Linked DNA regions of Macaca mulatta. The protein of the gene in region 2 purifies or fractionates together with the protein of the main gene of each other region. This does not show direct contact. Links are inferred from orthologs where the notes say so. Each region holds a gene or a part of one and is shown on either strand. Other genes may lie near its edges.

The links.
Region 1: the proteins of ASXL2 (region 2) and OGT purify together in Homo sapiens (affinity purification with mass spectrometry; 3 studies listed by BioGRID and IntAct, with this or other methods). This does not show direct contact. The link is inferred for Macaca mulatta from reciprocal best matches to the Homo sapiens genes ASXL2 and OGT.

The regions. Positions count from the first base shown.
Region 1 is NC_133426.1:78,036,046-78,042,695, reverse strand, and holds part of OGT (UDP-N-acetylglucosamine--peptide N-acetylglucosaminyltransferase 110 kDa subunit), read right to left. Parts: intron 4,125-6,650; coding exon 4,045-4,124; intron 3,479-4,044; coding exon 3,283-3,478; intron 2,721-3,282; coding exon 2,580-2,720; intron 1,990-2,579; coding exon 1,889-1,989; intron 1,718-1,888; coding exon 1,564-1,717; intron 1,475-1,563; coding exon 1,373-1,474; intron 1,177-1,372; coding exon 997-1,176; intron 1-996. UniProt on the Homo sapiens protein: Catalyzes the transfer of a single N-acetylglucosamine from UDP-GlcNAc to a serine or threonine residue in cytoplasmic and nuclear proteins resulting in their modification with a beta-linked N-acetylglucosamine (O-GlcNAc).
Region 2 is NC_133418.1:99,117,888-99,125,099, reverse strand, and holds the start of ASXL2 (putative Polycomb group protein ASXL2), read right to left. Parts: upstream 4,676-7,212; 5' UTR 4,435-4,675; coding exon 4,378-4,434; intron 1-4,377.

The DNA of each region.
Region 1 (6,650 bases), on a different chromosome or scaffold from region 2:
CTCATGCCTATAATCCCAGCACTTTGGGAGGCTGAGGCAGGCGGATCACCTGGGGTCAGGAGTTCGAGACCAGCCTAGCATGGCAAAGCCCCATCTCTACTAAAAATACAAAAATTAGCCGGGCATGGTGGCACACACCTGTAATCCTACCTACTCGGGAGGCTGAGGCACAAGAATTGCTTTAACCTGGGAGACAGAGGTTGCAGTGAGCTGAGATGGCACCACCGCACTGCAGTCTGGGTGAAAGAGAGAGACTCTGTCTCAAAATTAAAAAAAAAAAAAAGCACACCTAGCACTCCAATCTATCATCCAACCCTTGATCCAATCCTTGATCAAGTAGTGCTCTAATTCTCAAAGGTGAATACAAAATACCAAGCACTCCATTAAACATGATGGCTTGCCAGGCACGGTGGCTCACACCCATAATCCCAGCACTTTGGCAGGGCAAGGTGGGCAGATCGCTTGAGCCCAGAGGTTCGAGACCAGCTTGGGCAATATAGCAAAACCCCATCTCTACAAAAAATACAAAATTAGGTGTGGTGGCATGCGCCTGTAGTCCCAGCTACTCGGGAGGCTGAGGTGGGATGATCACCTAAGCTCAGGGAGGTCGAGGCTGCAGTGAGCCATAATCACACCGCTGCACTCCAGCCTGGGCAACAGAGCAAGACCCTGTCTCAAAAACAAGAAAAAAAAAAAAAAAGATAAAAGAAAAAAAAAGATAAAAGAAAAAAAAATTATGGCTTTCAAGTTAAAGGACAGTACCATCAGTCTATTGTTAGTGTTTAAGTGAAGGAGTTAAGGATTCCATCTTAGGAAGTACAGGGGGTTATACTCAGGACACAATGGAAGGGGTTCTGAAGTGGCTCACAAGTTTTATTTCTCAATTTGGGTGGTGTTCATTTTATAATCATTCATTAATCCACAGATTTGATTTGCACAGTTTTCTGTATTTGTGTTTTAGTTTACAACAAAAAGATTAAAAGAAAAGAATCACACCTTATCTAAGCACAGGTTGCCATGCCTCTCAGCAATAGCCTTCCTGAAGCCATGAGAAAGAGGATATAGCATACTATGATGAGGATGCACAGAAGGCAACCTATTCTTCTCTAACTGGTCAGCCACAATACTGACCAACTTCTTCATTCGTTCATCATAGTCTGTCCAATCACAGACAATCTAGAGAAAGCAAAAAGAAGTTATTATCCAGAAAGCCCTATCCCAGGATTTAATATTTGGTATGTCTTTGGCCTAAAGTAATGTCAGATAGCCTATTAAAAATACTATTTCCAGTCAGGCTTGGATTCTTATGGTACATAACAATTAAAAAGCTATTACAACACTGAGAGCCAATTACCGGCCTCTTATTCTTTACCTGCAGGCAATGAGCCAAGTTACAATAAGCATCAGGAAAATCAGGCTTAAGTTTCAGAGCCGTGCGGTAAGAAGCTATAGCCTCTGGAATATTCCCTGAATCCTGGAAAATAAATAAAGCAGGATGGTAAAAAGTTTCCAAAACTTAAATTTTAGGTGTTAAATTGCACATATTATAATAAACAGTAGTACCTTATGAATGGAAGCCAGATTGCTATGCGCATCTGCAAAGGCAGGATTAATTTGGATGGCACGCGTATAACACTGCAAGGCTCCCTGAACATCCTGCATCTCCTTTAGAGTGTTTCCCATATTAGAGTAGGCATCAGCAAAGGTAGGACTGATTCTAAAAGAGAAGCCCAAGGTTTTATTTCTCCAATACAAAAATCTTTAACCCACTGTAATGCTAACTTATTCTGTTGTTATTTAAAGCCATTTTAGCATCTGCAATGTGCCAAATGTCAAACATTTTAAAATTAAGAATAATTTTAAAAATAAGGCTGTTAGTGTCTCTTACCGAATAGCCTCCTTATAATGCATCAGAGCTTCCTGCAGTTTTCCCTGCTGCTGCAGTACACTTGCTAAATTTGAATGAGCAGCAGCAAACTCTGGGAAGACCTATAAAGAGTCAAGATCATAACTGAGGTTAAAAAATCTGCTAAAGCAGCAGTAATAATTCACCACAACCTTAAGAACTTTGCTCAAGTACGTTTACATCCCTAAACTTGTCTCTACCTTTTCCAAGTCTATTCATTCTCAAATTCTACCTCTTCCTCTATTTTATACCTCTTCTTGTTTCAAACATAATGAGGTACACCTCTTCTGCTCTTAGTTTATCCTGACCACCTGACTCCAACACCACTGAGATCTCTCTCTGCTAAACTCCTACCGTATCTACTAACCACTACCATACAGCCATCAGGCACTAAGATTATATACTTATCAGTAACTTCTCTTGAACTGTGGGTTAATGTTTAATTGTTTTGTACAGATCTTATCCACAGAATAATGAACTCTGAATGCAGGGATTTTCTGGAATGTCACATAGGGCCTCACATCATACCTTAGGTACTCAATTACTATTTCAATGAATAATCCTCTTGTAAATGATTCAACCACTATTTTTACAAAAGAGGTGGATGATGGTAAACTTAACTGCTTTCCCTCTACTATCACGCTAAATACCCAGCTACGCCACCCTCACATACTTCTAATGCTTTACGATACAAGCGAACTGCCTCTTCAATGTTTCCCTGTTCTCGTTTGATATTGGCTAGGTTATTCAGAGAGTCTGCATGGGTGGGACACAGACGGAGAGCTGTATTATAACAATCTTCTGCTTCGGCAACCTAGAAAACAAAACAAAGTCTTCAAAAACTGTAGAGAATCATAAAGCCTCCACTGATACTATTCTAATAATTGCTTAATTAAGCCTAATGGCTGGTAATGCTACAGAAAATTGATATTTTTTGGTATTCTTACCCTCAACCAAAACTCTAAAGTAAACCAATATACCATCTCAATACTTGTACAAAAGACTTTCATTTTTTGCTGTTTTTCGGTTTTTGTGATTTTCTGAGACAGAGTCTTCTGTTGCCCAGGCTGGAGTGCTGTGGCACAATCACGGCTCACTGCAGCTTCAACCTCCCAGGACTCAATCGATCCTCCCACCTCGGCCTCCCAAGAAGCTGGGACTACAGGTGCACACCACCATGCCCAGTTAATTTTTGTATTTCTTGTAGAGACAGGGTTTCGTCATGTTGCCTAGGCTGGTCTCGAAACCCTAGGCTCAAGCAATCCTCCCATCTCAGCCTCCCAAAGTGCTGGCATTACAAGTGTGAGCCGCCACACCTGGCCAGAAAAGACTCTTAATCCTACCAGATAACAAATAGAATGAGTAAAAATCCTTACACTGCCCTTCTCTTTGAGAGCATTGGCTAAGTTGCAGTAAGCATCAGGGAAATGTGGTTGTAGTTCGATAGCCCGCCTGTAGGTGTCTATTGCCAGATCTATCAGGCCTTGCTCATAGTATACACAAGCCAGGTTGCCATGCACCACTGCATGATTCGGACTCAAACTTAGGGCACGAAGGTAAGCTGCCACAGCTCTGTAAATGAACACACACACACACACACAAAATGTAACTCATTCTTAATGGATGGCTTGTTACAACTCATTCAAGCTGTACTATATCAAAATATATCAAGTCTTTGTAATTACATAATTCATGCTGTATTATATTTTAACCTCAAACCAAAATCATACCTTTATAAAATGTGTCTTTACAGTGAGAAATTTTGTACTCCCACATAAAAAATAGGCTGTCCTTTCACAACAACAACAAAAAGTTAAAAGTCAGGATTTACTGTGCTTTCTAAATCAGGTCAAAGGAATAATTTAGTCTAAGAAAAAACCACTTCAACCATTTTACAATTAAAAAATTTCAACTGAACTCCCAATGAGAAGGATAATGGCTTTGAGGAAAGCCAACAACAAAAACTCAGGCAATGAACACCTATAAATAAAAGGCAACACAGCAGACATGGGCAGGGAACAACGTACTAGAAAAGGCAAATGTGTTTCAATTGACTATTGTCATCATTTCGGTCCAAACTATCAAGTGTCAATACAACAAAGATTCAAGAAAATTTATTAAACAGAACATTCTCTCACCTGTCAAAAATGCGTGCCTCTTTCAAGACATTTCCTAAATTGATATAAGCATCCAGAAAGTTTGGGTCAAGGGTGACAGCCTAAAAATTTCAGGACAGTTAGTTACTCACAGCAAGTTAGGATTTCACCAGATCAACTTCCCAATTACAGTTTTTTTACTCCAAGGTCCTTGCAGAGTTTCAATTACATTTCATTTTAATAAACCAATGATTTATTTAGTGCCTTCTCATTACTTTTACAAACCTCATTATTATCAAAGTAACTTCTCATGCCTCATGTTCTCAGGAGCAAAATGGGTCCTGAACAGAAAAATTTAAAATGGGCCTGCTCCAATTTCATTAAACTGAATACTTCTAATGATTGGCCCTATTTTATTCACAATTACACCAGTTTAACTCTTCTGAAAAAATAGTGGCAAAAGAGGCAGCAAACTCTTACTGAAAAGGAAAATACATACCTCAGTTGTATGCATAGAACTACATGCTCAGCAAGACCTTATTAAGACATGCAATTAGCGCTGTATATACAGTAAAATACAATACTTCAAGGAAATACTAACTAACCATTAAACGGTGTCATTCAAATAGCTGTCATGTTGTCTAGAGCAGTGATTCTCAACCCTGGCAGTATATTAAGAATTTACCTCCTAGAAAAGGTACCTAGGCTCTATCACAGGCCAGTTAAATCAGACCCTCTGAAGATAGAGTCAGGATATCCAGATCTTTTATAAGCTCCTCATGCGTAACCAAGGAAGAGAACCACTGATCAAGAAAGATACTCCTACAGGATGGTAAATGTAAACTTTAATCAAAACATCAGCCGGGTGCAGTGGCTCACACCTGTAATCCCAACACTTTGGGAGGCCAAGGCAGGCGGACCACTTGAGGTCAGGAGTTCAAGACCAGCCTGGCCAACATGGTGAAACTCCACCTCTACTAAAAACACAAAAATTACCCAGGTGTGGTGATGTGCAACTGTAGTCCCAGCTACTCGGGAGGCTGAGGCATGAGAATGGCTTGAACCCGAGAAGCAGAGGTTACAGTGGGCCAAGATCATGCCACTGCACTCCAGCCTGGGCAACAGAGCAAGACTGTATCTCCAAAAAAAAAAGAAAAAAGAAAAAAAAAAAAAAACACCAAAAAGGTATTTGATTAAGACACTGAATATGTTTATTAAAGATTGATAAAGAACACTTCATCTGCTGGGCGCGCTGGCTCTTGCCTGTAATCCCAGCACTTTGGGAGGCCAAGGCGGGCAGATCACTTGAGGCCCGGGGTTCAAGACCAGCCTGGCCAACATGGCGAAATCGCGTCTCTACTAAAAAAAAAAAAATTAGCCAGGCATGGTGGCTAACACCTGTAATCCCAGCTACTCGGGAGGCTGAGGCAGGAGAACTGCTTGAACCTGGGAGGCGGAGGCTGCAGTGAGCTGAGATCGTGCCACTGCACTCTAGCCTGGGCAACAGAGTGAGACTGTCTCAAAAAAAATAAAGAACACTTCATCTTCACTTAGATGACAACTCTGTAGTAAACAGTGTGATGCATTTAATTTAGATTGTCTATAGTGATAGATGTCCACTCCAAAAACTTTTAAACTTTATAATAGAAACGTCTAAACACATACAAAAATAGAGGAACACCCAAGTCTCCATTATCCATTTTCAACAATTCATATATCATGTTTGATCTTATTTAATCTATATTCCAACTTACTCCCCCTCTTCGCAGATCATTTTGAAGCAAAACTCAGACATATTCCATTCGAAAATGTTTCAGTATGTATCTCAGGGACAACACAAGAAGCTTTTTCCTCCCAACCTAACCACAATACCATTATCATACTTAACAAACAAACAAAAAAAGACAGCAATTCCTTCATATTAAATATCGGCTGGGCGTAGTGGCTCATGCCTGTAATCCTAGCACTTTGGGAGGCCGAGGCAGGCCGACTGCCTTAGCTCAGGAGTTTAAGACCTGGGCAACATGGCAAAACCCCGTCTCTACTAAAAATACAAAAAGTTAGCCGGGCGTGATGGCGCATGCCTGTAGTCCCACCTACTCTGGAAGCTGAGGCAAGTGAATCCCTTGAGCCCGGGAGGTGAAAGTTGCAGTGAGCCAAGATCACACCACTGCACTCCAGCCTGGGCGACAGAGTAAGACCCTGTCTCAAAAAAATAATAATAATAATTCCATTCAGTGGTCCAATTTCTCATCGAGTCAGGATCCAAATAAGACCCATATAATTTGTCAATGTGCCTCTCTTTCTTTTAATCCTTTAAAAGTTTATTTATTTATTTATTTATTTTTGGAGGTGGAGTGTCACTCACTCTGTCGCCCAGGCTGGAGTGCAGTGGCACAATCCTGGCTCACTGCAACCTCCTCCTCCCAAGTTCAGGCAATTCTCCTGCCTCAGCCTCCTGAGTAGCTGGGATTATAGGCACCCAGCTTTTTTTTTTCTTTTGTATTTTTAGTAGAGATGGGGTTTCACCATCTTGGCCAGGCTGGTCTCAAACTCCTGATCTCAAGTGATCCACCTGCCTCAGCCTCTCAAAGTGCTGGGATTACAGGGGTGAGCCACCACACCCAGCCTAAAGTTTAATTTAAATC
Region 2 (7,212 bases):
GCGAGACCCCGTCTCCACAAAAAAAATTTTTAAACTTAGCTGTGGTCCCGGCGCAGTGGCTCACACCTGTAACCCCATCACACTGGGAGGCCGAGGTGGGCAGATCACTTGAGTACAGATGCTTGAGACCAGCCTGGGCAACACGGCGAAACCCTATCTCTACAAAAAGTAAAATCAGCCAGGCATGGCAGCACATGCCTGTAGTCCCAGCTACTTGGGAAGCTGAGCCAGGAGGACTGCTTGAGCCCAGCAGTCAGAAGTTGCAGGGAGCCAAGATCACGCCACTGCATTCCAGCCTAGGCAACCAAGTGAGACCCCATCTCACACACACACAAAAAATTAGCTGGGCATGGTGGCACACGTGTGTGGTACTTAGCTACTTCACAGGCTAAGGAGGGAGGAGCCCTTGAGCCCAGGACATGGAAGTTGCAGTGAGCCCTGATCACAAGACTGCACTTTAGCCTTGGTGACAAAGTGAGACCCTGGCTCAAAAAATAAAATAAAGTCAATGTAATGGTTCTCAATATCCCTGGTTAGCTACAAGTTTTTCAATTTAAATTGTACTAAACACTACACTATTTATCTCTCACTTAAATAATTCATTACCACCATCACTACTGCCCTTAAAATTAAAAACATGCAGCTGAGTATGGGGGACCACACCTATAATATCAGCACTTTGGCAGGCTGAGGCAGGAGGATCACTTGAGCCCAGGAGTTTGACATCAGCCTGAGCAACATAGGGAGACTCTGTCTCTAAAAAAAAAAAAAAAAAAAAAAAAAAAAAAAAAAAAAAATTTAATTAGCTGGGAGTGGTGGCGCATGCCTGCAGTCCCAGCCACTAAGGAGGCTGAGGCAGGAGGATTGCTTGAGGGGTTGGTTGAGGTTGCCATGAGCCGCCATCATGGCAGTGCACTCCAGCTTGGGCGACAGAGCAAGATCCTGTCTCAAAAACAAAATAAAAAAGAGTAAAACATGTGAAACTGCTAACTAAATACTAGAATGCTTTTTATAACTAGCATATTTAAGTAAGACAAATTTAAGATCAACAGGGAGGCAGTCCAGTGTAGTGAACACGCATTCAAGATCAGCTGAATCGCAGCTCCATCACCTTTCCCTGGTATCCTTAGTTACTGGAGCCAGTGTATACATTCAAGTTTATTTTATCAGCCTTTTGGCATAATCTACTATTATATAATAATTATGAAGCCAGGCACAGTGGCACATGCCTGTAGTCCCAGCTACTTGGGAAGCTAGGGCAGGATGATCACTTGAGCCCAGAAGTTCAAGGCTTTAGCGCACCACAATCACACCTGTGAAGCCATTGCACTCCAGCCTGGGCAATACAGCAAAACCCATTCTAAATAAAGAAATAAAATTATAATAATAATTATTATTATGAATCTTACTATTTTGTTTAGTTTATACTAACCTTACATCAAACCATGCAGCACTTCCACATATATACACACACCCCATATCATCCCAGTATCACATACTGACATTTTGTGTTGAATATATCTATTGCTATATTATTGGTCAGGAAAACAACCCTATTTTAATAGTACTCTCTAAAACATGATAGCTCTACAATGGAGGTACCAAAAACACATGAAATAAGAGACCCTTGCTTCCTTGATGAAACTGTTCCTCAAACACTTGACATCCTAATGCGTAAGAAATAAGTTTAAGCCTTAAAACCTCTTTTCCTATTCCTTTGTATCTAAATACTAGCATTCTTATTTAGGTCAAAGTTACTTTCGTTTGTCAACTCACTAATTTTCTGATTTCATTATTCTGCAGTCTGAAATATTACAAATGTACCTTTGCCTAGTCCTTCTTTTATTTTCATCTATTTATCCTAAAAACATAAATATTTTGAACACCGAGATTTAGTTTAATTCCCTCACTTATAGGTAATAAAATAACCCTCCAAAACTAAGAACGTTTTCTAGATTTTGGCTATTAGAAAAAGAAAAACTTTAGTGTCATCATTCTCTTTCTAAAACACATTTTCACTGAGACTGGGGCTTTATGTATTTGCCAGAATCAAAGAAAAATACCAAGCTACTAATATACTGGTCCCCTCAGGAACTCTACTAATCAAAGTAGTCTTTCCATCTTTTAAATACTATTTTTCACATAGCTAGCTAGAGCATGAAATGAGCAAATATACTAACATAGGAAAAGGTAAGTAGTTGCAGACTAATTTTTCCTATTTGTCACAATCTCCCAATGACTATTTTATCAAAGGAATCATAATGCAAAAAACACTCTAAAGAGTCTAGAAACTTCTCTAATATTAGTGCTCTGAGAGGCCAAGGCAGGAGGACTGCTTGAGCCCAGGAGTTCAAGACTAGCCTAGCCTGGGCAACAGAGCAAGACCATGTCTCTACAAAATATATATATATATATATATATATTTTTTTTTTTTTTGAGACGGAGTCTTGCTCTGTCACCCAGGCTGCAGTGCAGTGGTGCGATCTCGGCTCACTGCAAGCTCCGCCTCCCGGGTTCACGCCATTCTCCTGCCTCAGCCTCCCGAGTAGCTGGGACTACAGGCACCCGCCACCTCGCCCGGCTAGTTTTTTTTTGTAATTTTTAGTAGAGACGGGGTTTCACCGTGTTAGCCAGGATGGTCTCGATCTCCTGACCTCGTGATCCGCCCATCTCGGCCTCCCAAAGTGCTGGGATTACAGGCTTGAGCCACCGCGCCCGGCCTACAAAATATTTTTAATAAAAAAAAAAAATTTAAAGATCCTAGGAACTTAAAATTAATTAGCATAAATTAGGGTCCAGGTCTGCTTACCTATAATTAAAATTCATCATGCTTCTTTTATTAACAGAAAGAGGTCTTCAGGTATCCACCAAGTAGAGAGTAAAATAGTCCTCTGTGGGGAAGCAACCTCTACACCATCAAAAAAAAGTATAGGAGTCTTATCTTTTAGAGAGAAACTTCTAGCACAGGAAGATATACCAAGATATATTGTAAGTGAAAACACCCAGAAAAGTAAAATGTGCTATTATTTCTTAACTTTTTTACATTTCCAACTAAGAGAAATAAAAATTGAAGACTCATCAACCTCCTAATGCATAAAGTTTACAAAACAAATGCGCAAAGTTTACAAACAAATGCACAAGACTGAATAAACAGTATGACCTAGATTTGAGGAAATAAATAAAAGAGACTAGATGGTAATATACCAAATGTTAGCAGATACAGACGAGGGGTGAAATAAATGTGATTTTTTTTTAATTTTCTTTTTTATAATTTTCCAAATTTCCCCACAGTAACATTACTTTCATATTTAAAAAACCTCATTAAAAAATAAACCATATGACATAAGGGTTCACTAAGAAGGGCTATGTTGTCGAAGTATTACTGGCATGATTCACCATTAAAGGGGTGAACACCTCTCACTTTCCACTATTAAAATGCTGTTTAATGCCCTATTACTTTTCTGCTGCATCCTCAACGATGGAATGAACTTCACTATCTCCTACCATTTCATTTCTGCATACAACATGCTTTTAAATTTTTCTTCTTAAAATATGGTAAAAGTTCTCACTAATCCTCAATAGTCCACTTTTTAAAACCTACCTCTACATTTCGTCATAACAGAATTAGGGGGAAAAATTGTTTTGCCCACTAATTACAACTTCATTAGGCCACCATCACTTTGGCTAGGGAAAAGTGAAGGCCGGGTAAACTACACGTCCCACCATGCATTGCTGCCTTGTTCGGAGTAGGTCTCTACGGAAACAGGAAAAAAAAAAAAAATTCTACAAGTCCCACCTGTTACTTCGTTTCTAAACACCTCCTGCACTTTCGGCTCCAACACCAAACAAAAACAAAAGCCTCGTGATCTCACGTCTGCTCCGGGAGCCAGACAAGCAGGGGGCCCGGGGTCATAGGCATGTCCGCTGTAACGGGTAAATTCTATCCAGCTCCAGCGCTCCCCTCTCCTTTCCGGGGCTGGATGCACGCACAAGCCTTCTATCTGCATCCAATGGGGGCTCTCCAGCCGCACAAGGGAGAAGAACCGGTTACCGTGCAAGCACCACAGACTTCCCCGTGACGGGGCGGGGGCTACCACAGAGCAGAGGTGATAGCGACGTGACCCCAAGAGACAGCCTCAAAACACTGAGGACTCGCCGCAGACGCCGAGAGAAGCCACGGCCCCGCAGCTATCGCGTTCCGCCGGGCGCCTCCATTCCCACAGGGATCGCAACCCCGACACTAACCGCCGCCCTCTCCGCGCGGTTTTGTGCCCCCTCAGCCGGGTCTCTGGGCCAGTGACCTCCCTTCCCCTGCGACTGGCGGACGACAAGGGAACGAAATCCTCCCGGCCTTCCCCTTCGTTCCCTCCCCCTTACCGTCTTGGCGGCCTCCGCCCAGGTCCTGCCCTTCTTCCTACGTCCCTTTTCCCTCATGTCGGGTCTTGAACTGACTGGGAGGTTCCCGTGTCCGGGCTCCGGCCGCCCTCCCTGCCTGCTCTGCCCTGCGCTGCTTTTCCCGCGGTGCCGGGAAAGGTGGGAGAAAAGGGAAGTCAGGCCGGGGGGGCACCCAAGCAGAGGAAGCGGCGGGGTGGTGCGCGGGGGGGTCTATGGGGCGGCCGGTCCTCCTGCTGCCGTTGCCACTGCTACCGCCGCTGCCATATTGGGTTCTTACTGTACAGGCTGCCGCTACGGTCATGTGACCGCTCCCGCGCGGCCGTCACTACTGTACGCAGCCGGCCGCGCGAACGAGCGCGGGCGCGCCCCCGCCTCCCAAGCCGGGCCGCTGAGCGAGCGAGCCGGCAGTCTGCGATACCTCGTCACGCCCCCACCCTTCCGGTCTCCGCCTCTCCGCAGGAGCATGCGCGCGAGGGAGGCCCCGGCAGTAGCTGGCGTCTGACGGCCGACGCTCACACCTACAGCGAGTATCTGCCTGCGGAAGCGGAACTTGTTCCATCCGGGAAAGCTTATTGAACTGATCCCGCCTCGTGCGAGGCGCTGCATGGGCTGTGTAGACCTGGGGAACTGACCTCTTACCTCAGTGGGTGACTCTGCCAACTATCACTTTAGATAAGCTCTGCGTTTGTGTTTTCTCATTTATTTGCATTTTTACAAAGGTTATCTTTTTGAAGATAGGCAACAATTCTCATCTACCTATTAACCCCATTCGATAGGCGAAGCAACTGAGATTGAGTGACTTGCCAAACTCACAAGTCTGGGATGTAGAGACACCAAATATCAAATTGCCAGCTCAGAGCCCTTTCCATCTCCCCAGAAAGCCTCAAACTTAGGTGACTGTTTTTAAGGCCCCTGGTAACTGCATCCACGCTTTTACATGTGAAGCTACTCATCAGTGACAGAAATGGTGTCGTCTTTATTTCGATGAGCTCAGTCCCTAGCATAGTGCCTGTACCTATCAGGCGCCCAGTAAATATTTGCTGAATGATTCAGACATTTCTGTGGTCAGAGACCATTATTTGTAGTATCCATAACAGCCTTCTGAAAGATCCAGAATGTGGCATCTTCTCTTACATCATCTACGCCTTGATACTTTGCAAAGTAAGAAGCATGTGGTAACACCTGCTGATCTCACCAATCCACCTGCTTCCAGAAGCTGCTTCCAAACAATCTAGTAAATTTACTATAGTGTGAAATAGGACTGAGGATTGGATTGCCTCTTGGGAGGAAAGACAGATGAGAGCACTGCTTAAAGTTTATGGATGCATTTCAGAAGTTCATGGACTCCCTAAAACTATGAACTATATTTTGTGTGTTATATGTGAATTTTTTGAGAAGAGGATTCATAACTTTTCCTCTATTTTTCAAAAAGGATCTGTTGGCCGGGCGCGGTGGCTCAAGCCTGTAATCCCAGCACTTTGGGAGGCCGAGACGGGCGGATCACAAGGTCAGGACATCGAGACCATCCTGGCTAATACGGTGAAACCCCGTCTCTACTAAAAATACAAAAAACTAGCCGGGCGAGGTGGCGGGCGCCTGTAGTCCCAGCTACTCGGGAGGCTGAGACAGGAGAATGGCGTAAACCCAGGAGGCGGAGCTTGCAGTGAGCTGAGATCTGGCCACTGCACTCCAGCCTGGGTGACACAGCGAGACTCCATCTCAAAAAAAAAAAAAAAGGATATGTTGTGCCAAAAAAAAAAAAGAAAAAGATAGGGAGTTTGAGAGGCCATCTAGAAGTATCTAGATGCTTCCTTATATTTCCCTTCAGTCATGGATCAAACAGCCAATTTCAGCAATTGATATGGATATATTTTCTGAAATGTCTTTGATAATTCATAGCCCTATCCATTACACAGGTAGCATGTACCACCTCCCTCCAAAGCTTATCTCTGTAGTCTAAGAAGGCCTTCTCGCCAAGTGTAGTGGCTCACGCCTGTAATCCCAGCATTTTGGGAGGCCAAGGCAGTCAGATCACTTGAGGCCAGGAGTTCAAGACCAGCCTGGCCAACATGGAGAAACCTCATCTCTACTAAAAATACAAAAATTAGCTGGGCACAGTGGCATGCGCCTGTAATCCCAGCTACTCGGGAGGCTGAGGCAGGAGAATCACTTGAACCTGGGGGACAGAGGTTGCAGTGATTGTGCCATTACACTGCAGCCTGAGCAATAGAGCAAGGCTCAGTCGCAAAAAAAAAAAAAGAAAGAAAGAAAAGAGAAAAGAAGGTCTTCTCCATCCCTGACTGTTGAGTTGAGTACAGCTTACCACCCAGTCCTGTTGTTTGGTCCTGGAGCCCCAACTGGTTTTCAGACCCTCCTAGGCCAGATAATCCAACTGTCCTTACTTTGGATTTCAGGAGCTCTATCCCCAGGTTTTAATTTCAAAGGTAGGGATTGTAATGTTGTGGTTCCTACTTCTTAATCTTCCACAGATACAGATAGTTTATTATTATTATACAAGTATAATTCCCCAGAAAGTATTTTGTCCCCATGTCTATTGATTGAATTTGTTATGTGTATTTGCATCTCTCTCATCATCCCCACCCTCCTTCTGGATTTCCTTAGATATTCTGTTTCTATTCTCACCCTACTCAAGCCCATCCTACAGGGAATGCCAAATCTATCTTCTTAAAACTCCACCCACTACCCTACTAAGATATCCTCCCTAGTTCTTGATTGAGTCACAGTTTCTTAGCTTTACAGATATAGTTTCTATAATCAACTTAGTTATCCTTTGATTTATCTCTGGTTACTTCCATC